Rattus norvegicus: one gene and its partners. The protein of the gene in region 6 binds, or shares a complex with, the protein of the main gene of each other region. Links are inferred from orthologs where the notes say so. Each region holds a gene or a part of one and is shown on either strand. Other genes may lie near its edges.

What was found.
Region 1: the proteins of Gnas (region 6) and Calcr are in contact, whole or in part, in a cryo-EM structure (PDB 7TYY), measured with the Homo sapiens proteins. The link is inferred for Rattus norvegicus from reciprocal best matches to the Homo sapiens genes GNAS and CALCR. Residues at the interface, in NP_000507.1 of Homo sapiens: Lys34, Gln35, Arg38, Ala39, His41, Val217, Phe219, Tyr358, Phe376, Cys379, Arg380, Asp381, Ile383, Gln384, Arg385, His387, Leu388, Gln390, Tyr391, Glu392, Leu393, Leu394; in NP_001158210.1 of Homo sapiens: Arg180, His184, Glu240, Tyr243, Leu244, Leu247, Ile248, Val249, Val250, Ala251, Val252, Phe253, Glu255, Lys256, Ile319, Val322, Leu323, Lys326, Met327, Glu329, Thr330, Lys340, Lys343, Ala344, Ile347, Leu348, Leu351, Tyr391, Asn395, Asn396.
Region 2: the proteins of Gnas (region 6) and Fzd6 are in contact, whole or in part, in a cryo-EM structure (PDB 8JHB), measured with the Homo sapiens proteins. The link is inferred for Rattus norvegicus from reciprocal best matches to the Homo sapiens genes GNAS and FZD6. Residues at the interface, in NP_000507.1 of Homo sapiens: Gln384, Leu388, Gln390, Tyr391, Glu392, Leu393, Leu394; in NP_001158087.1 of Homo sapiens: Arg226, Ala310, Lys314, Ser316, Cys317, Val396, Gln407, Lys409, Leu410, Phe413.
Region 3: the proteins of Gnas (region 6) and Hrh1 are in contact, whole or in part, in a cryo-EM structure (PDB 9LRB), measured with the Homo sapiens proteins. The link is inferred for Rattus norvegicus from reciprocal best matches to the Homo sapiens genes GNAS and HRH1. Residues at the interface, in NP_000507.1 of Homo sapiens: Gln35, Arg38, Ala39, His41, Lys216, Val217, Asn218, Phe376, Cys379, Arg380, Asp381, Ile383, Gln384, Arg385, His387, Leu388, Gln390, Tyr391, Glu392, Leu393, Leu394; in NP_000852.1 of Homo sapiens: Asp124, Arg125, Ser128, Val129, Gln130, Pro132, Leu133, Arg134, Leu136, Lys137, Arg139, Thr140, Ile213, Ala216, Val217, Gln219, His220, Cys221, His223, Lys412, Ala413, Gln416, Leu417, Cys471, Asn472.
Region 4: the proteins of Gnas (region 6) and Gpr21 are in contact, whole or in part, in a cryo-EM structure (PDB 8HMV), measured with the Homo sapiens proteins. The link is inferred for Rattus norvegicus from reciprocal best matches to the Homo sapiens genes GNAS and GPR21. Residues at the interface, in NP_000507.1 of Homo sapiens: Gln35, Arg38, His41, Val217, Pro321, Asp323, Arg342, Asp343, Leu346, Arg347, Thr350, Tyr358, Cys359, Pro361, Phe376, Cys379, Arg380, Asp381, Ile383, Gln384, Arg385, His387, Leu388, Gln390, Tyr391, Glu392, Leu393, Leu394; in NP_005285.1 of Homo sapiens: His61, His62, Thr64, Arg127, Ala130, Ile131, Thr132, Pro134, Leu135, Thr136, Tyr137, Asn138, Thr142, Pro143, Ile214, Ile217, Cys218, His221, Thr222, Asp224, Ile225, Arg228, Gln229, Arg231, Phe232, Arg249, Tyr250, Val253, Leu254, Asn308.
Region 5: the proteins of Gnas (region 6) and Tacr1 are in contact, whole or in part, in a cryo-EM structure (PDB 7RMH), measured with the Homo sapiens proteins. The link is inferred for Rattus norvegicus from reciprocal best matches to the Homo sapiens genes GNAS and TACR1. Residues at the interface, in NP_000507.1 of Homo sapiens: Arg38, His41, Val217, Phe219, Tyr358, Phe376, Cys379, Arg380, Ile383, Gln384, Arg385, His387, Leu388, Gln390, Tyr391, Glu392, Leu393, Leu394; in NP_001049.1 of Homo sapiens: Met63, Thr67, Asn68, Asp129, Arg130, Ala133, Ile134, Ile135, Pro137, Leu138, Gln139, Pro140, Arg141, Leu223, Gln239, Ala242, Lys243, Val246, Met249, Leu308, Asn309, Phe312.
Region 7: the proteins of Gnas (region 6) and Gpr6 are in contact, whole or in part, in a cryo-EM structure (PDB 8TYW), measured with the Homo sapiens proteins. The link is inferred for Rattus norvegicus from reciprocal best matches to the Homo sapiens genes GNAS and GPR6. Residues at the interface, in NP_000507.1 of Homo sapiens: Gln35, Arg38, His41, Val217, Phe219, Asp323, Asp343, Leu346, Ser349, Thr350, Arg356, Tyr358, Cys359, Phe376, Arg380, Asp381, Ile383, Gln384, Arg385, His387, Leu388, Gln390, Tyr391, Glu392, Leu393, Leu394; in NP_005275.1 of Homo sapiens: Met107, Asp165, Arg166, Ser169, Leu170, Ala173, Leu174, Thr175, Tyr176, Tyr177, Leu182, Ile248, Val252, Arg254, His255, Ala256, Gln258, Ile259, Leu261, Gln262, Gln263, His264, Lys276, Gly277, Thr280, Leu281, Arg332, Asn333, Gln334, Glu335.

What each region holds. Positions count from the first base shown.
Region 1 is NC_086022.1:32,615,455-32,618,075, forward strand, and holds the end of Calcr (calcitonin receptor isoform 1a precursor), read right to left. Parts: intron 2,438-2,621; coding exon 2,189-2,437; 3' UTR 501-2,188; downstream 1-500. UniProt on the Homo sapiens protein: G protein-coupled receptor activated by ligand peptides amylin (IAPP), calcitonin (CT/CALCA) and calcitonin gene-related peptide type 1 (CGRP1/CALCA).
Region 2 is NC_086025.1:71,938,558-71,942,772, reverse strand, and holds the start of Fzd6 (frizzled-6 precursor), read right to left. Parts: upstream 2,801-4,215; 5' UTR 2,661-2,800; exon of another isoform or gene 2,567-2,660; intron 2,476-2,566; exon of another isoform or gene 1,940-2,475; 5' UTR 1,780-1,939; coding exon 1,603-1,779; intron 1-1,602. UniProt on the Homo sapiens protein: Receptor for Wnt proteins.
Region 3 is NC_086022.1:149,200,511-149,204,767, reverse strand, and holds the end of Hrh1 (histamine H1 receptor), read right to left. Parts: intron 3,265-4,257; 5' UTR 3,230-3,264; coding exon 1,769-3,229; 3' UTR 501-1,768; downstream 1-500. UniProt on the Homo sapiens protein: G-protein-coupled receptor for histamine, a biogenic amine that functions as an immune modulator and a neurotransmitter.
Region 4 is NC_086021.1:41,683,738-41,687,871, reverse strand, and holds the start of Gpr21 (probable G-protein coupled receptor 21), read right to left. Parts: upstream 2,801-4,134; 5' UTR 2,727-2,800; intron 2,381-2,726; 5' UTR 2,004-2,380; coding exon 954-2,003; 3' UTR 1-953. UniProt on the Homo sapiens protein: Orphan receptor.
Region 5 is NC_086022.1:116,569,117-116,572,616, reverse strand, and holds part of Tacr1 (substance-P receptor), read right to left. Parts: intron 964-3,500; coding exon 769-963; intron 1-768. UniProt on the Homo sapiens protein: This is a receptor for the tachykinin neuropeptide substance P. It is probably associated with G proteins that activate a phosphatidylinositol-calcium second messenger system.
Region 6 is NC_086021.1:183,501,821-183,506,042, reverse strand, and holds the start of Gnas (GNAS), read right to left. Parts: upstream 2,801-4,222; 5' UTR 2,798-2,800; coding exon 409-2,797; intron 198-408; coding exon of another isoform or gene 1-197. UniProt on the Homo sapiens protein: Guanine nucleotide-binding proteins (G proteins) function as transducers in numerous signaling pathways controlled by G protein-coupled receptors (GPCRs).
Region 7 is NC_086038.1:46,072,452-46,076,544, forward strand, and holds Gpr6 (G-protein coupled receptor 6), read right to left. Parts: upstream 2,801-4,093; 5' UTR 2,671-2,800; intron 2,136-2,670; 5' UTR 2,117-2,135; coding exon 1,025-2,116; 3' UTR 29-1,024; downstream 1-28. UniProt on the Homo sapiens protein: Orphan receptor with constitutive G(s) signaling activity that activate cyclic AMP. Promotes neurite outgrowth and blocks myelin inhibition in neurons.

The DNA of each region.
Region 1 (2,621 bases), on a different chromosome or scaffold from region 6:
GGCCTTTGTGCATTTTAATGGTATTTAATTAGTTATCTTTAATTCAATCTTAATCTTTCTTTCAAATTATATTAGGAACTTGTAATAATTCCAATGACCTGAGGTAATGTTGGACAGATCAAGTCTGGCTCCAGAATAATGAAAACCAACACAGAACAAAATGATCTTCTATGTCCCTGTCCTGGATTTCTTTGCTAGAATCCCCAAAGGTATCTAATAACAGATGGACAGTTTGGGATGGTTTCATATCATCAAGGGTGTGAGAACTGTACCACCTCGTTAGATTGAAAGTGGTTACACTAATACAGATGAGGATATTGTATTCATGTAAGCCATCTCTAACCTAAGCTTTTAGCTCTTCCTCCCTCCCATAAGATGAACAAGATGGAGATGCTGGTAGCTCCTGGGTGAAATGAAGAAGGCGTGGAATGAGCAGAGACAAAAATGAATGAATGGAAGATGACAATGTATTTCTTTAGAAAAATATGCCAACAAACATCTTTGCCTTTTCAACATGCTTGTATTAATTTATACAAGTACACAGAAGAAGTGTTTCACACAATTTAGGTATTACATGCAATGCTATGATAAGTCAGTTTGATTTCATCAGCCCCTACTACAGAAGCACAATAACGTCTCAAACACTTCAGCAATACACTATCACATTTGTACCAGAGCTGCCTGAAATACACTGATTTCAATGTTTGTAAACAAAACATGGGAACATCACCACGTAACACTGTGATTGGAAAAAAAATCCTTCCTTTCAATTCTCCCATTTTGGTAAAGGAGACTCTCAGTATCCAAGGGCCACAGCTGCTAGCGAAATACAATTTTCTCTGGGTGCACCAAGTACGTAACCAGAACAAATCAAGTTACTTTTGTTTTTACGCAACTAAATCACCTCTGAAAGGCAGTGACACAAGATGACAAAGAGGAGATGAGATTTTTAAGGGTCTCAAGGATGCGTCTCATTCAGCATACAAATTAATAATGATAATTGATTGCAGTTGCAGATTCAGAAATTGGTAATGGTATTGGTTTATTTGTGGATCTTGGAAGATCTCATTCTGGGGAGTAAAGAGAGGCGTGGAAATATGGTACTGAGTTTTGGTGAGAAGCTTGTCTTTAATTTAAGATGAACTAATATGTGGTTAAACTCCAAGTCCTTACATTGTGGTTTGCTTTTTTCCCTCCTTGTTTTGCTAATAGAAGCAAACAAGAGGTCAACTAGAAACTGATTTGTAATTAGCCACACTGAGTCTTCCTGGAAAACACGGGATCTTGTCAAGCTTTGAAGCTGGGTGGAAGGCAGTTAATGGACTTGAATGGAGTCTTTTAATTACCAGTCGTAAACAAATCTATCCCTCACTGCTAAATAGCACCCAAGGGCAAGAGGTAATCTGCTTTATAAACCTTGGAATGATTTGCTTTATAAATCCTGTAGTTTAGGAAAGTGGAAAACTATCTTTAAAGAGTGTTCTCTTTGATGGAAAATTACATTTGAGGGGGGTCAGTTTTGTGAAAAATTTAGTGATAGGTTCTTGATGACCTCCCAATTTATAAATGTCAGTGACCAAAGCACACTCAACATTCAGATCAATTCTTTACAGTATTTGGGTCTGCCTGGTGACGTGGATCATGTTATAAAAGACACAGCATCTTCCAGAGGTCATGTTATTTGTGCAGTTGACATTGTATGGATGAAAAAATGTGCAATATAGGAATTGACTGAAATAAAAACATTAAAAACCAGATCCGTAGCCAAATACAGAAATAGTCTAATTCAAAGTCCAGTGTTAAAATTAAAAACATTGAGAGTGATTTTAGTTTCTCAAAGGTACAAATGGCTCAAGATTAACATGGAGCACCCTTATCTGAACTAGGTCAATTTAGTGGCAGTTTTGGATACCTTGTCTACATTCCTATGAACACTGTCATCTCAGTCCTAGATGAATAATGGAGTTCACAAGTTGCACTGAGAGCCTAGCCTGACTCCCAAAGCAATAGTACCAAGAATAACGTTCTTCAAATTCACTATGGACAAATTCACTTAATACATCTTCACAAATGATATGCTTAGCTCCTGGGAGGATGGGGATCACTTGAAACGCATGGTCTATCGTTCTCCCAGGAAATGAAGGCTCAGTGGATCACAATGTTGGGGGGTTGCTTCACATTCAAGCATTCAAGCGGATGAGTCTTGCTGGATGACATTCATGGGGATCATTTCAGTACCCTCTTCGCCTTCGTTGTTGCTGACTGGAGGATTCCTTGGTTCCTGATGGCAGATGTAAATGGGGAGGCCACCTGGTTCTGCAAAGGCTACAGCACGAGGAGCGCTAACCACTCGGTTGGTGGGGCGGCGGCGCCTACCCCAGCGATGGCTCCACTGGATCTTGAACTGCGCCCACTGACGCTTCAGGGTCACTTGCACCTGCAAGGGCAAAGAGAACTTGTTGCCAAAGACTATCGGCTGTGACCCAAACAAAACTTATGTACATAACGCTTGGGGCTCATCAGAGGCAAATGGACGTTACGCTGTAGATCTAATCCAAGAACTAAATTTATACTGTGGCTAAGAAATATACCTTCTTGGAATATCAATATGCCAATCAAGA
Region 2 (4,215 bases), on a different chromosome or scaffold from region 6:
CTATTTTTCGGGGCTGGGATTGAACCCAGGACCTTGCGCTTCCTAGGCAAGCGCTCTACCACTGAGCCAAATCCCCAACCCCATGTGATGACTTTCTAAGGTCACTGTTAGAACTCAAGCCTAAAATGAACATAGCTACTACAGAGAGAGGAAACCAAATGAAAGTAAGATGCTTTACGAACACTTGCTTTAGTATATACTATAAAACATTATCATCACAGGCGACCAGACTGAACACTGTAATTATTGTCTGATGGTATCCACTATACACTCATGGTTCTAATTAATCAATGGAAGTCTCCCTGCACCCTTTGTTGAGTGTTCAAAAGAACGCTTTGCAGGGCTGAGGCTGTAGCTGAGTGGGCGAGACCTTGCTGTATTTGAGGGGCTCTGTGCCCTGCCACCTGATGGAAAAGAAGGGGGACTTTGCACTGGTTTGGAGAAACTACTGAAAGATTAAAACCCTACAACTTGTAAACCTTTTAAAATTATATCTTAGTATTTAAAAACTGCCCTACCCAGACAGGAGTCTACAAAGAGGTAGTCAGACAACTAACTCTTCGAGCAGACAATGGAAGGCCTTCAAAGCTGCAAGATCAAATGTGGTCAGTTTAAAAAAATCCATCTAGATTACACTTCTGGGGGTTTCATCTCTCAGAGACAATCTGAGGAAAAGCCTTGACTGGCTTCAGCCTGTCTAGAGAAAGATTACAAAACCTACACTCTTGTCTTCTTTCTTTTTCTCCTTCATGAAACTTATCAACCAAACAGATCTGTGAGGCAGGGCAGGTTCCTGTCTCCACAGGCAGCCCTTTCTTCCCACATCTCCCTGGGACATTTGCATATCTCTAATCCAGAGTCGCTGACTGAGGCACCTGAGGCAATCTTTAGTGTCACACTGCCCTTCCCCACAAGTGAGCTTTCTTTAACAAGTATCTTATATACAGAAAACATGCTTACACGCTATGCCTGAAAGTCATCTTTTAGTAAAACACCCTCTTTAGCACCAAAACATTCCAGTAATTTATTAACTTTGGGAAAACTAAGCCAAATAAATTTATAAGTACTTTGTATAAACATGCAAGTTTCTTCCATTTTAGCTCAAGCAATACAAACTATATGTTCAGTCAACCATTTAAAAATGCAGAATTTGGGCTGAGTGTGATAGTGCACACTTTTAATCCCAGCCCTCGGGAGGCAGAGGCAAGTGGATCTCAGTTTGAGTCCAGCCTGGTCTACAGAGTGAGTTCCTGGACAGCCAGAACTACACGGGAGAAACCTTACCTTGAAAAACCAAACAAATAAACATTGAAAATTTAAAAATTCAGAAATCACAGTCTTAGAGAAGCAATGACACAAATTCTGAAAAGCAAAACATTTTCATCTGTAACCATTCTTCATTATGAACTCAACCTTTTTTTTTTAAGCAAATTAACTAGCAGCCCAAATATTGTCAACGGGAGGGGGGCTTAATTAATTTTCAAAAGTACTTTTAAAAATATGATTGGGGGAAAAACTACGTTTAAAGATTAAAAGGTAATAGTTAAGAGAAAAACACTCCGTATAAACTAATTTTCAATATAGGCATGAAAATCCACTCACCTCCATTTCCACAGCAGCAATGCCCTGGTCATAATGACCCATCAGGTTAGGGAAAAACGTCATGTTGTAGGCCATTTTCATACATCTGGGAACAGTGATTGGCTCACAGGTGAAAAGGCTGTGCCCTCTTATGAGGGGCAGAAGAATGCAGGCCGACAGAAACGGGGACGCTTCCATCTTCCCCAGACTCCGATTACCACATGGCTTGGATTACTCTTATGCTCCTTTCCGCATCAAAAGATTCTCAAATTGGAGATAAAATGGACAAATTCCTCATTTCATTATTTTTACCATTTTGAAAGAAGCCGTTTCCTGAAAATGAGTTCTGGGACAACTGCTGTAAAAACAAACCCAAAGTGTGTCATCTGCAACATTTGTCACAAAATCAAATCCAAGTCAAATTTCATGCTGGGTAACTGGTGCTGGGGGGAAAAAAACTGTGGAAAATTCCATCCTAGAGAGACACTTCCACCCGCCCGAGTGCGGAATGTATCATTTTGCTAAGGAAGCCTCAATTCTAGGGAACTGCTGATGAAGGTTTAGAGGGTCTGAAACACTGGTTAAGAGAGGCATGGCATAAACAAGTTGGACTGGGAAAGGGGTGCGGTGGTTGGAAGAAAGGGGACTTAGGGGCCCCTTGGTCATCTCACCACATGGGAAACATGAGGACAAGTGGATTCCCTAAGACCCAGACAGAGTTCTTCAAGTTTAGCGCTCTCTACAATAGCAGTCTCCTGCGGATGTGCTTTTCCTGTTTTTCCGCCAAGGCGAATCAGCCTGCCAGGGTTGACCGAGGTCCCCTGGAAAGAGTGGGCCTGCTTGGTGACTCCTTTTCGATCGTTCTTCACCTCCAGCACCTTCCCCTTCAACGCGCTCATCCCGTGCCCTCCTGTACCCCGAATTCCACCCACGTAAACCTCCCACCGGCAGCTCCCCTGAACCCCGGGGTCCTGAGTCGGGGCACCTGTTCCAGGCCTGCAGCTGAGCGGCAGCGTCCCGGGCCTACGGGGACCCGGAGTCACTTCCCAGGAGTTGCGTGGGACTCCAAGGCGACGCACCTGCGGCTCGGGTCCCGGCCGCTGCCCGCCCGCCCCGTCGGGCCGGGGACGCCTCACCTCGGGCGGCGGGGGCGGTGGCGGCTGTCTCTGGCGTCGATCGGCCCCGCCACTTCAGACAGCCCCGGCGTGCCGGCAGCCGGGGGGCAGCGTCCGAGCTTCGACCGCCTCCGGGGCCGCACGGGGAGCGAGAGCTGGGCGATCCCGCGAGACTGCGCCGCCAGGTCGGGCGGGCAGGTTGGGGCTCGCGGCGGCGGGACCGGCCCTGTGCCCCGCCCAGCCCAGCCAGGCGTGGTGCGGGGGCGGACGAGCCCTCGCCTCCGTTCGCACAGCGGACCCAGGCGTCCGTCCTGGGCCTTAGGGAAAGCGCCCTGCAGAGCACACTCGGTTCTGGAAGCGAGGAGCCTTAGCCGCGGGGATCTGCTCTGTAGTGACTTGTCGCCGGGACAGGGGTTAGCGAGTAACTTCCTGAGCTCTTGGCGGAAAAGCCTATTAACTCCGAGAGTCTGGCCACCACCTTGAACGGCAGGTGCCAGTGGAATTCCAGCTTCGGCTGGTTCTGCAACTTTAGTGCTACAAAAGCCCCACAGAAAGTTAACTGCTTTAGTCAACGTGGTTTTGAGAACCAGCTCTGCCATCATCATTTCAGATAAATTACCTAAAAGGGGTGTGTAGATGCTTAGAGTCCTCAGTATGTAGACATGAGAAATGCATACGATAATGGTTACTAACTTTTGAGTCCTTTACATTCAATAATGCCTAATCCGTAGGACTCTGGTATGAGGTACAAACGAACTTACACCTTGGCACAGGAGAAATAAGTAACTTTTCTTCTTGTTCCTAACGGGTCTAGAACCCAGGTCCTTGTGCATCGTGGTGATAGCATGCTTAGTGTGTTAAGTTACAGTTCCATCCTGTAAAATAACTTTTAAATAGAGACTGTTATTAGCCGATTCTCTGTACTGCAGAAAAATATCACATGTCAGAACTTGGGACCCCAACAATAACCAGACAATATTTGACATCTGCAAACATCAAAATGAAGATGGATTTTGGAGAATTATCCCAGCTTTATCAAAAAGCTTAGGACCAGATGGTGGTCGTGGTAGTGCACACCGTCAATCCCAGCACTCAGGAGGCAGAAGCAGGCAGATCTCTGAGTTCCCAGACAGCCATGCTACAGAGAAAACCTGCCTTGAAAACAAAACTAAACTAAACTAGGACAACTGTAAAGGACCAGACCCTGCTAAAGACATTTTAATATTAATTGTCTTAATCTTCATACCATTAAAAGCTGGCCAGTGTATGTATTGAAGAATGCATTTCTATGTAAGATATTTCTATGTAGAAAATTAACCTTCATGGGAAGAATATTTCTCAGAAAAAAAATTAAGTTTCTATATAGAAGGAATATTTCTCAGCAGGGTGGAGTAGCACAGACCTGGAATTGCAGTACCTGGAAGGCCAAGGCAGAAGGATCTCAAATTCAAGACCAACCGAGATTTCAGAGCAAATTGAAGGTCAGCCTGGAGTACAAAGTGAGAGCCCTTGATCAAAA
Region 3 (4,257 bases), on a different chromosome or scaffold from region 6:
TAGGAGGTGGGAACTTAACCTGGGTCCTCTATATGATTAGGCAATGTTCGTAACCACCAAGCCATCACTCCAGCCTCCAATGTTTTATTTTTAGGTTGATGTGAAAGCACTCCTGTGTAAGCGTTGGAAACTCTGAGCACTGTCACAGGGCATTGTGTGTTCCTTAGCTGACGTTTATTCACTTCTTGTCCTTGTCATACCCAAGTCAAAGCTCCTTTCTCAGCATAACCCTAAGACACCCCCACCCCCAAAGCTTGAGCATGAAGAGTGTCCCAGGATGCAAGAAGGAGTAAGACAACACTTAGAACCACCACCAGGGGCAGCAGCTGAGGGCTGGCCATGGCTGTCTTGCTCCCCACCAAGTTCTAGAAAAACAAAAGTCCTATTAAAGGACATTTATAAATTTGAGTCGAAATCAGACAGAAATCCTTGTCAGGCTTTCGTTTCCACCTGTTCCCCCAGCCTATGAGACTCAGAAAAGTAGACACAAAGCAGCCATATAACAGTACCTTCCAAATGTTGTCGTGTTTTAGGTAAGCAAAAATATCTCATTTGGACAGGTCATGCAAACAGGAACACAGACACAAAAGGCCAGCTTTTACAGGGGTTCCTACTTGCAACACTCATTGATGTTCAACATTACATTTTAAAATATAAATCACAACTCGATTCTGTCATAAATAAAACTGGACGTTCCCATGATTTCAACAGAATTCGTTCAGCATGTGTGACCAGAAACCACACAGTCTCATAGAGAAAAGCACATTTGTCCCTTCCGAGGGTCACCCTCTGTGGACAGGTGTGCTCCATGCCCGTTACTCGGGACACTGTCACTTCTCTTGGGGAACACTGTGAGTACATGGCAGGGGACATTTCTTCCCTTTTGGAGAAGTGATGAACTGAGGCCATACAAAGTTCTCATCCCGAGTTTCTGACGTGAGTATCAAATGATTCCAGGAACCTCTTTTCCTTTGTCACGCCAGGGGCCTAGAGTGAGAGCCCCCTGGTGGAGTCTTAAAGAAATAAGGCTGTCTTGCCTTTCCTTTGCTTAAAATAGAACCATTCAAAAGTCTCTTCCTCCTCCTCTTGACATTTGAGGACAGTTTTTGTTACTGTGTTGTTGTTGTTGCTGCCGCCATTTTAAAAGCCCAAAAGAACTAAGAGTTGAAAATGATGGACTCACAAGCTGCCTAATTTCCTAGAAACTCTGAGACACGGGTAAGGCAAGTTCCATGGTGGGGCACATAGCTCTGGACAATGCTGTAAGAGAGGCTCGGCTCGGAAGGACTGCATTTTGAGAAGTGTGGCTGCAATGAAACAGCTGCCAGGCCTCTCCAGGTAACCCCTGGAAGGGGACAGCATCGGTGTGCATGTCTCTGCAGTCACACAGCTTTTGTTCGGGAAGTCTGAGTCCAGGCTAACCCTCCAGAAGAACTATAGCCACACATTCCCACTTCAGTTACCAAGAAACTTAAGTCAGAGAGTTTGACTTCCACGGAGTATCTGAGACTCCCACAGTCCCTGAGGGCCAGGCATGCTCTGCCTGGGTCTCCTTCAGATGCTCTGCATTCTACCCAGAGCACAATCGCTCTGCTGCCTGCTTTCCTTCTGACAGCTCCTGGGAATGCCTCCAGACTGCTCAGCCCAGGACCTTAGATTCCACTTCCTAATGCTCAGGGGTCTAGTGACACCCATGCTTTCTTCCTCTGGTTCCCTCTTGGACATCAGACGTTGTCTATCCACTATGTGGCATCCTTTTGGTATGCCCTTAGGAACGAATGTGCAGAATCTTTTTGAATGTCTTCTTGAAGTTCTCGTTGCACAGGGGGTAGATGAGGGGGTTCAGCGTGGAGTTGATGTAGCCCAGCCAAATGGTGAACATATGCACGGGTTCACTGCAGCAGCTCTTGCAGAAGGCAATGACCATGAAGAAGATGAAATAGGGAATCCAGCAGAGAATGAAGGCCGCCATGATAAAACCCAACTGCTTGGCTGCCTTCCGCTCTCGGTTCAAGTGCAGCCCGGACACATACTGTCTGGAGTGTGAGCGGAGCCTCTTCCAGGTGATTTTGATGTAATCCAGGCCACTGTTAGACCCGCTTCTCGATTTGACTCTGCCCGGCCCTGGCTCTATGCTTGTGTCTGAGTCTGTGGTCCGGGAGAAGGACTGTTGATCCACCAAGGTCTGGTCCTCTGATGTCTCACTGATCCGCCGACAAGTATTCAGGCTCTGCTCATCCATTTTGGGCTGGCTCAAGGCCTGATCATTGGCCTTTGAGCCCCTGACATCTCCCTCAGCCATAGACTGTTTCTGCATGATGTCGAGACGGAAACAGGGACGTGTTTCCCTTTCCCCCTCTTGGCTGAAGACAGTTGGAGAGGTCATCTTGGGGTCTTCAGATGTTGACTTCTGATCCAGTCCTACACTGGGGTCTCTTGATGGCCTTTTCAGAACCCCCCAGGGAGACTCTCTCCCAGGTTTCTTGGCACCTTCCTTGGTATCGTCTGACCTCAGCTTGAGTTCTGAAAAGGAAGGGAGGGACCCGTTGGTGAGCTGGCGGTGCTGACAGTGTCGCCGCACAGCCTTGTAGATCTTCACATAGAACCACAGCATAAGCAAAGTGGGGAGGTAGAAGTTAATAATAGCAGTCATGATCTTGAACCAAGTGACATTGTAGAAGTCTGTCTCACACTTGTCTTCCCGAAGCTCTGGGGCTGGGGGCATGAAGTGATGCCAGCCAAGTATGGGTATAACCCACAGGAAGGAGAAGAACCAGGCCCCCAGGATGGTAGCGGAAGCCCGGGTCTTGGTTCGGTACCTCAGGTACCGGAGGGGTTGCTGGACGGAGCGGTAGCGATCAATACACAGGATGAAGACGCTAAAGATGGATGCTGTGCTGGCCACATAATCCATAGAAAGCCAAAAGAGGCAGAGGGGGCGGCCCAAGGACCACTTAGTCATGATGAGATAGAGGATGTTCATGGGCATGACGACTGCCCCTACAATCAGGTCTGCCACAGACAGGCTGACAATGTATAGGTTGCCCACGGTGTGTAGCTTGCGTTCACTGTGCACAGCGTACAGCACCAGCAGGTTGAGGCCCACTGTGACCAGGGAGATACTACTGAGAACCACCACCAGGGGCAGCAGCTGAGGGCTGGCCATGGCTGTCCTGTTCCCCTCACACATCTTGTCTTCGAAGGTAGAGGAGGTATTGGCAAAGCTCATTGGCACAAGGGCAGCCTCCAGTGATGGCTCCCTCCCTGGGAGAAAAGAAGACACAAGATCAAGGTCAGAGATCAAGATGATCAGAGGTCACCTAGGAACACCATGCTGGTCAGACTGGAGTAGAAGCTGCTGGGGGTGGTGGACACCCATCACACCATCAGGACCATGTATTCACTCATGCGTTCCTGCGGTCCTCACATTCTGCCAGGGACTAGTTGCTGGATTCCTGGCATTATTATGAATATCAGAGATTCCACTGTTGATAAACCAGAGGGGAAGAAAACCTCTGATCTTGTGGAGTTTAGATACCAGAGTTTAACCAAAACAGGGTGACTTATACAAGTCTTATTCCGAACATGTCTTGAACACTCTGAGAAATCTCATTATCTGGGACCTCTTTGATGGTTCTGGGACAAAACTGTGGCCAGAAAGAGGCTGTGGGGTTCAAAAGCACTCATTCTTCCCCTGTGGCAAAGATGCCAAGCTATGAAAATCACCCTTTCCCTCTACCGTACTCCTGAAAGGGAGTGAAGAAGGGGTGTTTGGAGTACGATGGTAGTTTGGACGTAGTTAGGAATGTCAAGAAAACCACAGAGGCTGCAGCTTAGGACTTTGTTGACACAGAGCTGCTGAAGGAACTCTGCAATCTTGCTCCTATAGTAGCGAAATGTGTTCTTTGCTTAAGCCACTGTCCAAGAATCGTTGTTGGAAGAGGCAGCTGTTGGAGGGAAGCAATTGGGAGGGAGCCGTAGGGGTGGGGCTGTTGGAGAGCACTTGGAAAGAAAGCCCTGTGCCCAGCTCGCACAGTGAGGCCAGAGGAATGCCTGCAGTTCCATGGAAGTGGAAAAGCCTTGGGGAACAATGTGAGCCGGCTGTGAGCCCAGAAAGAAATGGCCACACAGGGAGCTCAGTAAACTGCACTGGCCTGAGAAGGGCTGCTGCGATTCCAAGAAAGGAGGGGGAGACTTAGGGACAGGCTTGAAGGAATTCTAGGGACTTCTCAAGAAAAAGAGATGCCTCAGGGACCC
Region 4 (4,134 bases), about 140 Mb from region 6:
GGCTGTGATAGTAGCTGACTCTTTAGAAGGCAGACAAGTTTACACTGACCCTGGGCTGACTGCATCAGCGAACTCGGTTTTCCTTGAAGACTTTGGATAAGAACAGAAAACACTACAGTCACTTTAAAAAAATGTTTTCACATTACAATTGGGCAGCTATCCATCTATTATTTATTTAGATTAAATATTTTGTCATTAAAAACCCAGCTCAGTGTATAGATTCTCAGTATTCACAGACAGAAGCCCTGGAAGAGCACTGTCACTGCTGCACACGCATTCACAATGCTCAGAAACACGGGGGGAAAGCACCTGGATCTCACTGCGTGACTTCACTGCACAATTGCTCCATTTCAAAACTCTACAGAACAATGTCCAATGCTCTCATTATTTATCCTATGGAGATTTCTCTCAAGAGGCAAGAAAACGAAACATTTCACTGTCTAAATGAATGTTGAAACTTGCAGTACAGTTATATTTTGGCACAGATAAAGAAAATCCTTGCTAGTTCATCAATATATTTTAATATTTCCTGTTAGAATTGCATATAAATTGCAACTTGCATGAAATAATCCATAAAGGGGCAACAAAATGTTTTTTGTTTTTTGTTTTTGTTTTTTTTTAAACATGCTGACTCTTTTTACATCCAGATTCAGGCATGCCAAAGGGGAGAGAGAGGTATCAACTATGGCTTTACTCTTTTTGAATCTTAGAACTATAGTCACTTCCATGACATTTCAAAGACTGGATCAAGATTGATTTTTTTCCATCATCCTGATTCTTCTAATTTTAAATCTCATTTAGAAAACAACTTCTGCAAACTATGAAGGTTCTCCGGACAGTTTGTAGCTGCTCCTACATCTCCAGTGAACTGGGAGCACAGAGATGGAAGGAAAAAGTGAACCAAAGCCATCCTCTCTCCTTGAAAACAGAGAGACTGAATATATGAGTCCCCCTCAGATATGAGATCCATTAAGGGGTCCTTTGCTCCTAACTGTGTAAGGGTCCTTGGCTGTGGTGTGACTTGCACAAGAAGTACACACAGACTCTGAAAGGCCCTTTAGTCCTTGTTGGAAAACACTGTTGGAGAGACTGTAAATGATACAGTTGCAGAAACTGTTACTAATAGCAAGCCAGGTAGTCAGGAAGGAGGCAAGACGGCTGCTGCAGCCAGTAGAACTCTCCAGCAAGAAGTAGATGATGTACGGCAACCAGAGGACATAAAACACACTGGTGATTCGGAATAGGACCATGGCATAGCGCTTATCTGGACAGGTTTGGGCTTCCCCAGTCTCCCCATTCTGGCTGCTGAATCGGGCTTGCCTTTCGCTGATTTCTTTTGTGTGCTGCTGGCAGATTCGGAAGATGTTGAAATACGTGAAGCAGACAATGAGGGCAGCTGGGGCGTACAGCGTCATCACGATGAACAATGTGAAGTAGGAGTTGGTGTGCCAGGACTCTGCACACCACCGAAATACATCTCCATGATATCCGGGTTTACCCCAGTGAAAGAAGGAAGGCAGGAAGACCAGGGTAGAATACAGCCAAATCAGAAAAATACAGAGGCGTAGTCTCCAGGGAGTAACCAGGGTATTATAGGTTAAAGGTTTAGTGATGGCAATATATCTATCAATGCTGATACAGGCCAGAGAAGCCATAGAGATGCTCTTCAGAACTGACACTATGAAACCAAATACTTGGCAAGTCATGGCCTCCTCCATCGGAAGAGGGTAGTAGAGGAGTGATAAGGAAGGGACCAGGCAGCTTACCCCAACCAAGAGGTCAGCATATGCCATTGTCTGGATAAAATAACTTGTAGAATGATGGTTCAACAGAGGTGCACAGTGAAACACAAAAATCACAATGATGTTGCCAGAAATAATCAATACAGTTAGAAAGACAACGATCAGCACTTCCAAAAGACAGAACCTGACAGTTTCCAAGTAGCCCAGTGCCAGAAGACAGAAAGGATGGCTGCTCTGATTACCATCCCAGGTGGAGTTCATCTCGTGCTCAGGAACTGGCTCTCACTTCATGCTACCACCTGGCTGCTGTTCCCAGGAGTAGCTACTGTCCCTGCAGTCAGCTTTGCATCCCTGTGACAAAGCCAGGAGCCCTAGTCACCAGGTTCCTGGGGTTGCTGCTGTGCTGGGTATACTGCCTGCTGTACAATTCCCCTTTAAATTCTTCCTGGAATAGGGAGAGACAACAGCAGTTGTCTGGCCAGTCCCAGACGCATCCACACTGCCAGGTTGACCATACACATAGCAAGGAAGTAAGGCAAACTGGGGACTGTGTCTTCGGGCAAACGAGGGTGGGGGAGGGGCAGAGGGAGGAAGATTAGGAGCTTCAGCAGGAGTTGTAATGAGTCTCCTCTGAACAGCTGATAGAAGAAAATGAAAGAGCATTTTACATTTTGCATTCCACAACCTAGACAAAGAACCTAGCTAGCTCTGACTGCCAGCACCCCTCCCACTTTACCCTAAGCAGTCCCCTCCATAAAGGGGATTTCCAAGATTAACATAAAGAAATTACAGACCCAACCTCATTTTCTTTTATTTAACCTGTTGTAGGAGAATCTCCTTATGGTAATCCTGAAAACATTTGGCTATATTATCACTGAAAAAAATTAACCAAGATTAATTTTCTTCACTAATTCCAATGTACTACTTTATCTCTGCAAACACCTTAATATAATTTATCTGCTTAGCTCAATTTCAGAATGTTACCTGTGATTCTGCAGGCTGAAATCCAAACAAAAGCCACAATACATCCTTATCAGAAAGCCTTGCAATGCAGGAATGTGCTTGCTTAAAGCCTGCCTACTGCAGAACTAAGGCACAGAGGGAGGGGTTAAAGAAGTAGGAGGAGAAAGCACAGAGAAGGGGCTTAGGAAAAGGACGAAAGGGGGTAGGGAAGGAAAACCTGTGTGCCCAAGCACATACACTCTAGCATCTTGGACAGCTCATTAGCATTCATTCCCAGAGAGGAGCGTTCCCGACTGCACAGTGGTACTGACTTGGTGTGCCTGCAGTGCAGTATTTGAAAGCTGCTTGTCAGTCTAGAATCTTCCTCGTAGGTAAATGAGCAGAATTCAGATTGCCATTAAGAAAAATGGGCAGAGGTGGGGATGGAGAGGGAGGAAGAAAAGGAGGGGATGGGAAGAGAGGGAGGAGTCAGGCTTTGGGCTGAAGCACAGTACCAGAGGAGAGAGAGGGAAAGTCCTATTTTTGTGTACCATTTCCCCAAGAACAAAGAACAGTGTTCTACAAAGTAAGCTTGTTAACAGTACATGACAACCGAGGAATTATAATTCAGCTGTACAAGAAGTTACAGCTGAAACACAATATTCGGCCTCAATTTTCTTTGATCATTTATTGGACATTGGATAATATTAGGAAATGGTGCTGTTTTGCCTCTCCCTCAGTTCAGTCAGGCGCTCCACCTGAGTGGAGTGACAACCTGAGGCAGCACACAGGTATTCAGGTACAAGTCTTTGCATCTTATAGTGCAATCTTGTCTCTACTTACCTAAAATAATGCAAATTGAAATAACACTAATTTTTTTTTGGATAATGTCATAAATGGTGCTTTTTAATAACTGGGTACTGTGGGAATGATATAATTTTGCCTGAATAAAGTCTCACTCCCTCAGTAGAGTAAAAGAAAACAAATGCTGGCAACCGTAATAATCCCAGGAGATCTACATACTTGAACAAAGCACTATGTGATCCAACTTGAATTTTTATTTATTTATTTTATACATGCTTTCCTACTGTGGGCAAAGGATGCTTACAATCACAGTTCAGTGAAGCATGAACACTTTACTTCAGGAAAGTAAGGATCCCAGAAACATGTTCAAGGAGACTAGTAACAGTATGTGACAGACCAAAGCAGAGAACAGCAGCACAGAAGGGACAGCCTCCTGGCTCAGAGCTTTTTGTATTTAAATCACTGTCACTCACAGATAAATTAAGGTGACTCCTGTTCCTCCCCCTCCCAGTGCCTTTGCACACTAAATTACTAGCAGGAGGCATGCTGAGGACTCTGCCTCTGAGTACTTTTACACAGTACAGCAGTCTCCTGATTTCCAATGGCATACTCCATTACCTTAGCGCAGCTGTAGTCTGAAAACACA
Region 5 (3,500 bases), on a different chromosome or scaffold from region 6:
AGGCCTGCTTGTATGTGTTCTGCAACCCCTAGACACTAAAAGGCCTCCCATGCTCGCATCTGATCGGGATGTCTCAGTTCTCACACCGTAAACTCCTAAACTCCGAAAGGGCTTCGGATTGACGCTTCCTTAGAGGCAGCTTATGAGCTAAGAGAGTCAAGGGCAGTGGCATTGTTTAGGAGGGAGAAAGGGGGCAGGGAGTAGAGCTGTGGTTTATAGGAAAGAGGGGTAGTCTATAACATACGTCCTAGGGTACCAGCTACCACGGGAGCAATAGCCACTTAGATTCCTTAGGAAATTGCAGACGGTGTGAGACACAAGCTGCAGAGGGATTGTACCAGAGGGGAGAGGAGCAGGCCACTGCTGAGAGAGACTGGAGTGGAGACATTCCCACCTCCCAGCATACTGTGCCTGGTACAGTGACATCACAGAAATGTAGATCCTAGCAGGGAAGTGTCTTACACAAAAGGCCCAAGAGAGATGGTGGAGCACCCAAGGGTCTGCTGCTCCAGAATCCTGGGATGCATCTGTAATGGCAACTAGGTCTTAACTATCCTTAATCGCCGTACTGGGGACGCCATCCCCCTAATAGTGGTAGATGTATCAACACCGTGTCAGAGAAGTGGATGTGAGGAAGTCAGGCAGACATGTGTGAAACCCTCACTGATGCAAGAATATAGAAGGAAAATGGGGAGAGGTCAGGACAAGGTTCTGCACAGCACCAAGCGGCTTCCGAGCCGATCACAAGACAGGCAAATCTCTACTCACGCTTTCTCATAAGTCCTGTTGGGATGCTCCGGCCACTCGATCATGCACACGACTCTGCTGGGCATGGTCTCTGTGGTGGAGTAGTAGCCTTGTGGAAAGGCCAGCAGGAGAGCCAGGACCCAGATGACAAAGATGACCACTTTGGTAGCCGTGGCTGAGAGCCGGGGCTGGAGAGGGTGGATGATGGCCATGTATCTGCAGTACAGAAGAAAGGACAGTGTTCTGTCAGTATGTGTCAGTGTTCTGTTACTATGTGCTTTTCCTGCCCGTAGGAATTCCCAGATGCCCACTGGTTTACAGTATTTGTGTTTGTCTATGTATAGAGGCCAGGAGCCAATCCCCAATGTTGTTTCCCAGAAACCATGTATAGTCTTTTGAGACGGTCTCTCTCTGAACCCTGGGGCTCACCAATTAGGCTATGCTAGCTGGCCATAGCTAAGCTACAGGAATCTGCCTGCCCCTGGCTGCACAATGCTAGGATTACAGGTGTGTACCCCCATGTTCCAACTTTTCCACATGAATTCTGGGGATCAAATTCAGGTCCTTTTCAGGGTGGGTTGGGGAGAGCCTGAGGGATGGCTCGGAGGTTAAGTTCTCATGCTCTACAACTATGGACACTGGAGTTCAGATTCTAGCACCTATGTAACAAGTTGGGTGTCTCCACAAATGCTTGTAACCCTCCGTCCCAGGGTATCAGATGGAGGATGGTCATTGGGGCTGGCTTCCACCCTGGCCAAGTTATGAGTTCTGGGTCCAGAAGAGACCTTGCCTCGCCCCAGTAGACTAACTCAGGTCCTCCTCCTTGCACAGGGGGGCACTCAGTGACTGAGCTCTTTCTCCTGCAGCCCCTCTTAATGATTATTTACAAGTATTTTCTGAACTATTTTTTTATATTTTTATCCTTAGACTATATGACTTATGATACTTAATACTAAAAAAATCATAAGGAATGTCAGATAGACTTTTAAAAATCGGGAACCTATTTAGCACCATTCTGAGAGGAATTTTCATTTATTGACATGCTTGTAGCACATATCCGATGGCCAAATACGTGTTTACACAAAATGAGAAAAATGACATGTAAGTACTTTCAACATCCAGAGATTTATCTTTGAGGCTAGAAAGATGGTTCGGTGGGTGAGAGCCCTTACTATTCTTCTAGATGACTTGAGTTTGGTTCTTAGGACCCCCACTGGATGGTGCAAAGCTGTCCATCACACCATTCTAGTTCCAGGGAACCTGACACCCTCTTCTGGCCTCTTTGGGCAACTGCATTTATATGTACAGACACTCTCGCATATACACATATATACACACAATTAAAGACAAAGAAAAAGAAGGAATTTTGCTCCACTTTCCCTCCTGATGAGAGACTGAACCCAGGACCTTGTTCTTGTCGGGCAATTGCTCTATACTGAGCGATATTCCCTAGCCTTCTCTTTTATGCCATTGCAATTAAGGGACGGCGTTGATAGGAATACAGCACTACAGGAGAGGTCTCAGTCTGCAAAGCACGGCATGATGGTGCCATGAGGTGCATGGCCTTGTGACCCTGCAGCTGTCTCAGCTTGTGGAGACGTGCAAATGCTTGCCTAGAGATTAAAAGGCCTGCTGCGTTTTCAGACGGTGCCCTTCGTTGACAGAGTGGGATTGCAGCTGGTTTAAGAGTTCTTACACAGCATTATAAAAGCTTAACGATGAGCTGGGTGGGTATTAAGAGCTCAGTTGGGAAGGCAGCATCAGCTACTACCTGGGCGATGGAGTGTGATTTCATGAGGAAACCTAGACACAGTGTAAAACACAAAACAGGGTTGGGGATTTAGCTCAGCGGTAGAGCGCTTGCCTAGCGGGCGCAAGGCCCTGGGTTTGATCCCCAGCTCCGGAAAAAAAAAAAACTAAATAAGTAATTTTGGGCTGGAGAGATGGCTCAGCGGTTAAGAGCACCCGACTGCTCTTCCAGAGGTCATGAGTTCAATTCCCAGCAACCACATGGTGGCTCACAACCATCTGTAAAGAGATCTGATGCCCTCTTCTGGTGTATCTGAAGACAGCTACAGTGTACTTATATATAATAAATAAATAAATCTTTAAAAAAAAAACAAAAAAACACAAAACTAAGAGGGATTGCACCAGAGGGGAGGGGAAAGGAGGGGGAGGAGAAGGGAGAGGAGGAGGGGGAGGAAAGAGAAGGGAAAGAGGGAGGGGGAGAGGGAGTTCATAGCTCTGCTCCACTAGTAACTTTTGAGAGCTTTTGGGATGGAGACATGGCCACCTTCTGTCATACACAGGTGCTGGGACCTGAACTCCAGGCCTCATAGTTGTAGAGCGTGAGACCTTAACACAGATGTTTACATTACAATTCACAACAGCACCAAACTTACAGTTCTGAAGTAGCAATAACAATGATGTTACGGTCGGGCTCACCACAGCCAGAGGAACTGTATCAAAGGGCCACAGCATTAGGAAGGTTGAGACCCGCTGCTGGCTTAGTCAGCCATTCTGGGGTCCCCTCACCCCTGTGGTCTAGATTAAAAGATGTCAGCCTGATAGGCTGTCCCCCTGTCCAAAGCTGTGCATAGCTTCTGAGAAGCCACAGAGATCTGAGATACAGAGAGCGGCAATCGGCACTTCACGTCCCACAGTGGTCCCACTTGTCCCTTTGAAAAGGTCTCTCCTGGTGTGTGTTTTTCTTACAGATTTTATTGATTCACTTATTTAAAAAATGCACTTTC
Region 6 (4,222 bases):
GCGAGGCGGGGGCGCGCACCCCGATGGCCCTAGCCCACCGCGGTCACGAACAATCGAGCCGGGGGAGCCCCGAAGGGCCCACCCCAGCAGTTCTGGGCTCACCTCACGCCCCCGCCTGTCCAGCCTAGGATCGCTGGCGCTGGCGCTGGCCTCCGGCCGGTAACGACCCTCAGTGTCGCTCGGCACCACTTTTCTCCCTGGAGGGCATACAGTTCGGCCACCCGAACACTCCAAAAGGCCCCTTTCCCACCCCAGGGCAGAGTTGGGGTCCCTCCCTGGAACTTCTAACAGGGTATCCAGACCCCTCCTCCCACGGGCAAGGCCCAAGCCCCACCGGAAGGCCCTACCACCCCCTCCCCGGGTGCCCGGGGTGGCCCTACTGCCCAGGGGCAGAAGCTGCGGCATTACCTAGAAGCAGCAGGCGGTGTGTACACATGTAGTCCATCTTCTCCTCCTCCAGTTGCTTGTCGATGAGCTTGCTGCGTTTCTTATCTGCGCGCTTCTGCTCTCGCATCTCCATGGCTTCTTTGCGCATCTGTTTGCGCCTCTCTTCCATAGGATCCTTGGCCTTCCCGGGGCTGAGGGATCGTGATCGGGTACACTCAGATAGACCGAAGCAGCTTCCGAAGGCTCGGGCGAAGAAGTTGCGGACCGGGTTGCTCCCGACTGTGTGGCTCCGGGGCTGGCCAGGGCGGCGGTTTCGCCGCAGAAGCCACTGGAAGCAGCCAGTGGCCCCTTCTTCCGACTCATCGCTGGAGGACTCGATCTCGCAGATGCCGGACGCAGCCTCATACCTGCAGCAGCTTCGGCCACGTTCGTATTTGTCAGGCCAGGCACTCGGCCGCGGAGCAGGCCGCGGAGTAGGCGGGTCAGCAACCTGGATCTCCGGGCTGGGGGGTCTAAGATGGGCCCTGCTTGGGGCGGCAGAGGCTGACCGGCCGGCAGCGACTGCGCGGGCAGCAGAGGCTGCTCGGGCGGCAGCTGCTGCGCGGGCAGGGAGGGATGCCCGAGCGGCTGGAGTAGCCGAGAGTGACCTGGCTCCCCAGACCAGAGGACCTGCATAGGCTGCTCTAGCGGCGGCTGCCCTAGCAGCGGCTGACATCGCTGAGGCTCCAGGGACAGCCCCGGCGGCTGGATGGGCTCTGGCAGAAGGGACAGCCCGGGTAGCGGGCTCCGTAGGGGTGACGGGGGCTGCCCGGGCGGCAGGCTCCGCCGGCGTGGCAGAGGCTGCCGCGGCTGCGGGCTCCTCTTGGGTGTCGGGGACTGCCCCGGAGGCAGACTCGGCTTCGGTGTCAGGGACTGCCTCGGCAGCTGGCTCGGCGGCTGGCTCGGCGGCTGGCTCGGCGGCTGGCTCAGCGGCTGGCTCGGCGGCTGGCTCGGCGGCGGCGGCGGCGGCTGGTTCTCTGTTGTCTTCGGACTCGGCAGGGGTGGCTGGGGCTGTCCCTCCGTCTGGTTCTGCCCGGACATCTGGGCCCGCATCTTCAGAAGCAGGCGGAAGATCGGTGGGCATGGTTGGGACTCCTCCGACTTCCTCAGGACCGATCTGAAGAACTGCGTGTGTAGCTGAGTCCGGATCGGCTTTGGAAGAGTCCGTTCCGGACTCCGCAACAGGAGCTGGCTTGATATGCACTGTTTCAGGTTGGGTGGGGGATCCTTCTCCTCGCTCGAGGGAGGGGACTTTTGCCTCCTCTGCAGTGGTGCTGCTGATAGGGCTGTTTCCTGTCTCGGCTGCTTGTCGCTCAAGTGGGGGTCTCTTTGCGTGCTCGCTCTTAACTGGGGCTCCCGAGACTTCGATGGGCGGGCCATCACTTGCGATTGGGGGGCTGTCCATATTGACAGCGGTGTCGTCGTCGACCCCAGTGGAGGCTCTGCCAATCTCAAGCAGGGGTCTGGTGATCTCCATTGGGGAAATGTCGTATGCGAAGTTAGGAGATCTGACAGCCTCGCGGAATGGTCTGCCAATGGCGCCCTGGACCCAGAGGGGAGGCGCGTTCGCGGCGGGAGCGAGGCAGAGCGTACTCGGGACCGCGACTGTCGGGAACTCGCCGCCAATGCCGATTTGTGGCGTGACTCGCGGGAGTCCTGGGGGTGGGCTATCGCCCCCGAATTCTTCTCCATCGAGCTGAAATGGCACAGATTCTTCAGGTGGAGGGCTGTAGTCTTCTCGGAAGCCAGTGTTTTCAAATCCGAGGTTCCCGGGCTCCGCGGGAAGAGCTCTGGAGACCCATGCTTCCGGACCCCCTGGCGCAAGGTCTGGGACTTGCAAGGGAGGCTGGCAACGGTCTTCCTGGGCAGGCTCATTGAACTCAAATGGCATAGCTTCTTCTGGTGGGGGGCTATAGGCTCCCAGGCCTGGGTGTGCACCAGTGGGGGTCCCGGGCTCCAAAATCGCTGGGTTGAAGGCTTTGATGCCTGATGGGGTCCCAGATGGTCCAGGCTGCTCCAGGGTGGGCCAGAAATCTCCCAGGCTGGGCTGTTGGATCTCGAATGGCATGGCTTCCTCTGGAGGTGGGCTGTAGTCTCCGCCCACTTGGACTTCCTCGAAGGCCTGACTGGGGCTCTGGATGTCAGATTTGGAGTCTTCAGGGGGTCCACAGACCTCACTGTCAGTCTCGTCGGGGATGGGCTCATTGTTAGACGGTTCGGTCTCCATTTCTTCGGCTGGGCCAACCCCAGCACCGGGGGCAGCGGCCCCTTGGGCTTCCAAAGGTTCTTGCTCGGGCTGGTCCCCGACTTCAGGGGGGATATCGTGTTGTCCTGACATATTATTGCCGTGGAGGCAGTTGAGCATGCCCATAACACGGTGGCGGCTTTCAAAATAAATTTGGGGCCCCGTAAGACGGAGCACCCAGCCAAACTAGGGTGAAAAAAAATATATTTTTTAAAAAAATTCAAGTTTTGGCTGGAAAGTTCTCCAGCCTCAGTTTCCAACCTTCGTAAGGATCGGTGATCCGGGACTAGAACCCATGGCCATGGCTGAAGCGAGTCATCTCTTGCTGGCGAGGTCTGGCACCTTCCAAGTTACCTTTACCCCTTCGGGCTGTGGTCGGCCAGCAACTTTAGGAACTTTTTTGTGCTCTCTTCTTACTTTGGTCTACTTTAGCTCCGCCTTCTTGGCATCCAAGAGCGTGCCGATTCGTCTCGAAAATCGTAAGTAGAACTCTTTCTCTGCCGCCAGAGGACGCCGGTCTCAGTGCTGAGCCGGCTCTGGGAGCTGGCTCCGGGTGCCAGCTGCTCCCGACTTTGGGTAAGGGGGCGGATGAGCGGAGGCCTCGTAGGGACGTTCAGCTCCGTCCTCTTCTCTCCCGGACTGATTCCGAGTCTCTCTTCCTCGCTTTTTCTCTAGCCAGAGAGAGCGCGAGCTCTCTTGCGTTGCTGGGACACGTGACGCAAGACGTGGGCATTGGCCTGTTAGAGTACAGGAGCTGAAAGCCTCCCTCCCCATCTGATTCTTCTGGACGGGAGGAGGGACTGCAGGAGGGCTTTATCACCCCAGATTACCCTAGTATGCGGCGAATCTTTTATCTAAAGACCCTACACTCAGGCCAATTATCCATATTCATCTCCAAGCCAGGAAAAGGAGGCTTTAGGATACAAGGAAAGGGGGTAGAGGCAAGCACTATAAAATGCGACAGGTGGTCGTGAGCCCACCGGAAGGGGAGGGGGGGTGAGGAAGTGCGGAATGTAAACACGCAATTTGTTATTTAAATGCTCCGGGTAGTTTTTTTTTCTCTTTTTGATGTTTACGTTTGCTGTTTGTCGGGGATGGCTCGGCAAATACTGTCAATGTCCCCCATCCCCATTACACCTAGAGTGGCCTAATGTGACGCAGTCAGGGCTCGCTCTGTTTATGTGGGTGGTGACGCAGTATGAATAAAGGTCTCGGTAGTGCACTGCGGAAAATCAAGCAAAGCCCCCTTAGGCGGTACTCATGGTTGCCGCGTTCGTGCAGACAGGGGAGGGGACCCGGGGCTTACCGAAAGACCCCCTAGCTCAGGGCTCGCACTTCTGTGTTCTGGGTAAGGGCCAAAGGAGATTTGGGGTGTGGTTGATGGCCCATTTAGGGTGGTCTTAAAGACTAGAAAACCCGATTATGCCCTTAACCCACCAACCAACCGTGCTGTGGTGGCAACGGCTGCAGGGACTCCCGTCTTCCAGCCACCAGTGCCAGCTGCCGATTCCGTGTCCGGTTCCTCTATATAGATAGCCCTTCTCCAGACCC
Region 7 (4,093 bases), on a different chromosome or scaffold from region 6:
TCCGAAGAAAGGACACTGGGACACACCTCAGTTACCCCATGAAGATCTGGGAATCCTGCTTTAGGAGAATTTTATTGGTTTTATTGGGCTCTGCACCTGGCTACCAGACCTGGGTAGCAACAGTCTGAATAAGCCATGTTGAGAAATCTTGGCATGTTTGTAAAGTTATGCTGGTAAGTTGTGGCTTCAGAGTTTACACCTGTGCCTATGTGACTTGAATTGTTTTGACCTCTGAAACATGTCTTCCCAACCCGGCCACCAAGAGAGCACATTAACTTGCACCAGTAACAGCCTTCCTTCTCGTGTTCTGGGGATGCCACGTGTGAATGTTACTTCCTCCATGACTCATGAATGTTACTGCCTCATCCCATGGTTTAGATCTGGTATTTCATGTGGCTCTCCCTGGGACAAGATGATAGATAGATGTGCAGTAGACTTTTAAAATAAACACACTCACAATTCAGATTCCAAACAATGCCACAATTTATCACATACCCAAGATCATACTTTTATAATGTGTTTATTTGTGTACAAAATATGTTGTAGTTTACTGATGCATGTGCAGCAAAATATTCTATCACATACAACAAAAATACATCTCTGACTCCCTTTCTCCTGCTCTTGGGGATGGCAACACTGTCTTGGCATTTCAGCAGCTAAAAATAAAGTGCTATTATTAAGCAGTATTGGAATGTCTTCACTTGACAAATGTGATGTACGATTGAGTATACAACCACATTTTGTTAGTTTTTTTCACAGAACGGGAAGCTCCAGGCCCTGAACACCTCCAGAAGATACAAATATTTGTATATATATGTACACGTGTATACACTGTATATGTAAAATGCCAACAAGCCTCTTTGTCTGAGTCAGTTTGTTGCGTTCACATCCAGTCCCTTTGCGGGGCAGTCAGACTCGCGCCGAACCACTGAGTCCTCAAGAGTTCATCAGCAGGCACCTAGAAGCTCACCAAAGGCCGGCATGTTGGATTTGTGATGTGGGTGAGGAGACACGGAGGAGCCCTTCAGACCTCACTGGGGGACCTGGAGCGGAAGGGCACTTTGGATTGGAAACAGCCACAGAACAGGAGCCACAAGGCACGCTGGATCTCCTGGTTGCGGAAGGCATAGATGATGGGATTGATCATGGAGTTATAGGTGGCAGGCAGCAGGGTGGCATAGGTGTAGATGGCCGGGTCCTCTTGGCTACCCACCACACAATAGATGGCGAAGGGCAGCCAGCTGGCCCCAAAAGTGCCTAGCACCACGGCCAAAGTTCCCACACCCTTTCTGGTGGCTGCTAAGTGTGGTGGTGCTAGGCAGTGCTGTTGCAAAGCGATCTGGTGGGCGTGGCGCCAGACCACCTGGCAGATGCGCACGTACAAGTGTAGCATGATGCCAAAGACCACAAAGAAGGAAGTGGAGAGCAACGCCACATGGCTGCGTGTCAGGGGGCGCACCACGCTGCAGGACGCGCGGTCAGCCAAGCAGTTCCAGCCTAGAACGGGCAGCAACCCCAACCCGAGGGACACTGTCCAGGTGGCTGCTAGCAAGAGGTGCACGCCCAACAGGGTCCGGCGCGAGTAGTAGGTGAGCGCGTTGTAAAGGGACAGGTAACGGTCCACTGTGATAGCGAGCAGGCTGCTGACTGAGGCGGCGAAGGACGCCACCAGGAAGCCCACCATGAGCAGGCTCACAGTCTCCGAGGGCACCACGTACTGGAACACGAAGTGTAGGATGAGGCCACAGCCCGCCAGCAGGTCAGCAGTGGCCAGACTACCCACGAGCACAAACATGGGCGTGCGCAGCGCGGGAGTGGATGCGATGAGCGCCACCACCAGCGCATTTTCGCCTGCGATCACAGTCCCCGACACGCACAGCAGCACATCCCAGGGATTCACTGCCGAAAGCAGAAGTCCTGAGGGTCCTGCGGGCAGCTGCGAAGACAGCTCCAGTGACCCGTTAGGTCCTCCGCCGCCTCCCAGCGCCGCGGATGCTGCCGGAGGTCCCCATTCGCTGGTGTCCGGTGTCCCTGCTGCTGTAGCCGCAGCTGCCGCTCCCTCGGCCGCTACTGCCACCACCTGGGACTCGTTGAGCGCGGCGGCGCTAGCGTTCATCGCCGCCAGATGCTGCTCCCTGTATAAAAGGGACCGCGGATTGTCAGGTGCTCTGTCCAAACTACCGAGGAACTTTCCCTGTTATAACTGCCTCACTCAAATCGCATATCTTACTTCAGGAGTATGCACGGAGCATAGTGGGGGAAGCAGGGATAAAGTGCGAACCCCAAATAAATAAGCACCTGTTGGTTGAATGAATGAATGAATGAATGAACGAAAGAGATGGGGCTTCTGAGCTTTGGCAGAGGCGCATAGATAGATCCCACTATGCACTACCGTACACAAGTATCCAAATATAAGAGTCAATCTCTTTGCAAGACTAAGCTGGGCACAGCCGCTGTCCGCGGTTCTGAAAGCCAAGTTTGGGATCTCAAGGAGCCAGAGACCCCAGGTCTTGAACTGGAAATTGAAAGACTAAGGGGGAAGTCTGCTAGGGTGCGGTGGTCAATTCTTGCTCCGATTCTCTGACTCCGGTATGGACTCTCTCTGGGATTGCCTTTTACCCTTTCGCCTTCCCCACATGCTCAAAGAACCCTTAGGAGCCCGCCGCTCACCTGAGGAGTCAGGGCTCCCGGGAGTCTCTGGTCATGCGCTCCGCGGCTGTGTGCCCTACGCGGTCCGAGCAGCTGCCTGCAGGAGGCTGCCCCGCGTCGAAGAGGAAAGTACTGGTCTCCTGTCCCTGAGCCACCGTCGCTGCGAGTGAGAGGCAGTGGCAGAGAAGGCAGGCTGCGAGCTGCGCGCCTGCCCGAGATTGACAGGCGGGGCCCGGTGACGTCAGGCTCTGGGTTCTGGTTCCAGTGGCTTACTCGCCACACCGGCCAGGCCAATCCTTCTTGGCGTCTCCCCACCCCTCACAGAAACATTTCAGAGAGATCCAGAAGGAAGGAGAAGCCAGAGTCTCCACCAGTCCAGATACCTCCAGGAATGGGATGGGGCTGAGAGGAGAGGGAGAGAGGATTGAAGAGAACTCCGAGGCTGGACAAAGGAGGGTGAGCTGGAAAAGGAAGGCGAGGGGTGAGTGAAAATAAGCCACACAGCAAAGGCCAGAGCCAAGGATCACTGAGGTGAAGAAGCCACGGAGAAGGGGTGGTTGGGACATCTGGAAGAAGAGAGAGAAAAGTTCTCTTTGTAAGAGTGTTTATAGCGTCTGTGCCGCTCGAGGGAAGAAACCTTGAGCTGAGAGAAGAGACAAGACAGAAGGAAGGGCAAGACCGGAAAACGGTTTCTTTTTTGAGAGATTTACCTGAGGAATCCTCTTGCAGAATACCTGAGCCCTCCCCTGCGGGTTTCACCACTGATATCTTCGCCTCTTGCTGCTGCCCTTGCAACTGCTCTTTGATTAAGACAAGGTCTGTGTCTTGTAAGAAAAAAACGGCAACAAAATGTGATTTACTTTCCTGGCAACAGACTTTGCCCTGTTAATTACTACCTTATAAAACAAATTATAGGACCGAAATAGTGATAACTCAGCTGCACCAGACTTCAACAGGCACGGGTTTTATTTTCAGCCCAGATAAATCGCCCTTTTAGCTCAAAGGTGTTTTGGTTTGTCAGTAAATTGCAAGATTTTGTCTCTTTCTTTTGTAACCGGACAGACTCTCCAACAGCTGTACTTGGGCCTAAAGCTAAAGCAGCTGACTCTGTAAAAGGCTCTAAAAGGAATGATTACACATTGCTATTACAGCTCTGGACCGGGGCCACTGCTGTGGCCTTCACACAGTACACGGTTTGGACAAAGTGAAATAAAGTGACACACATGGTAGGCGCTTCCTGCCTCCTCCCCAGCCAGTGCTTGGCTCCACTGTTACAGATAGCTCCAGGGATGCAGAGAGAGAGAGCGAGAGAGAGTGAGAGAAAGAGAGAGAGAGAGAGAGAGAGAGAGAGAGAGAGAGAGAGAGAGAGAGAGAGAGAGAGAGACTCAGCTGGCTCATAGTCTTGAGGGATGGGGGATGCCTGAATTGGCTACTTTAGACGGGA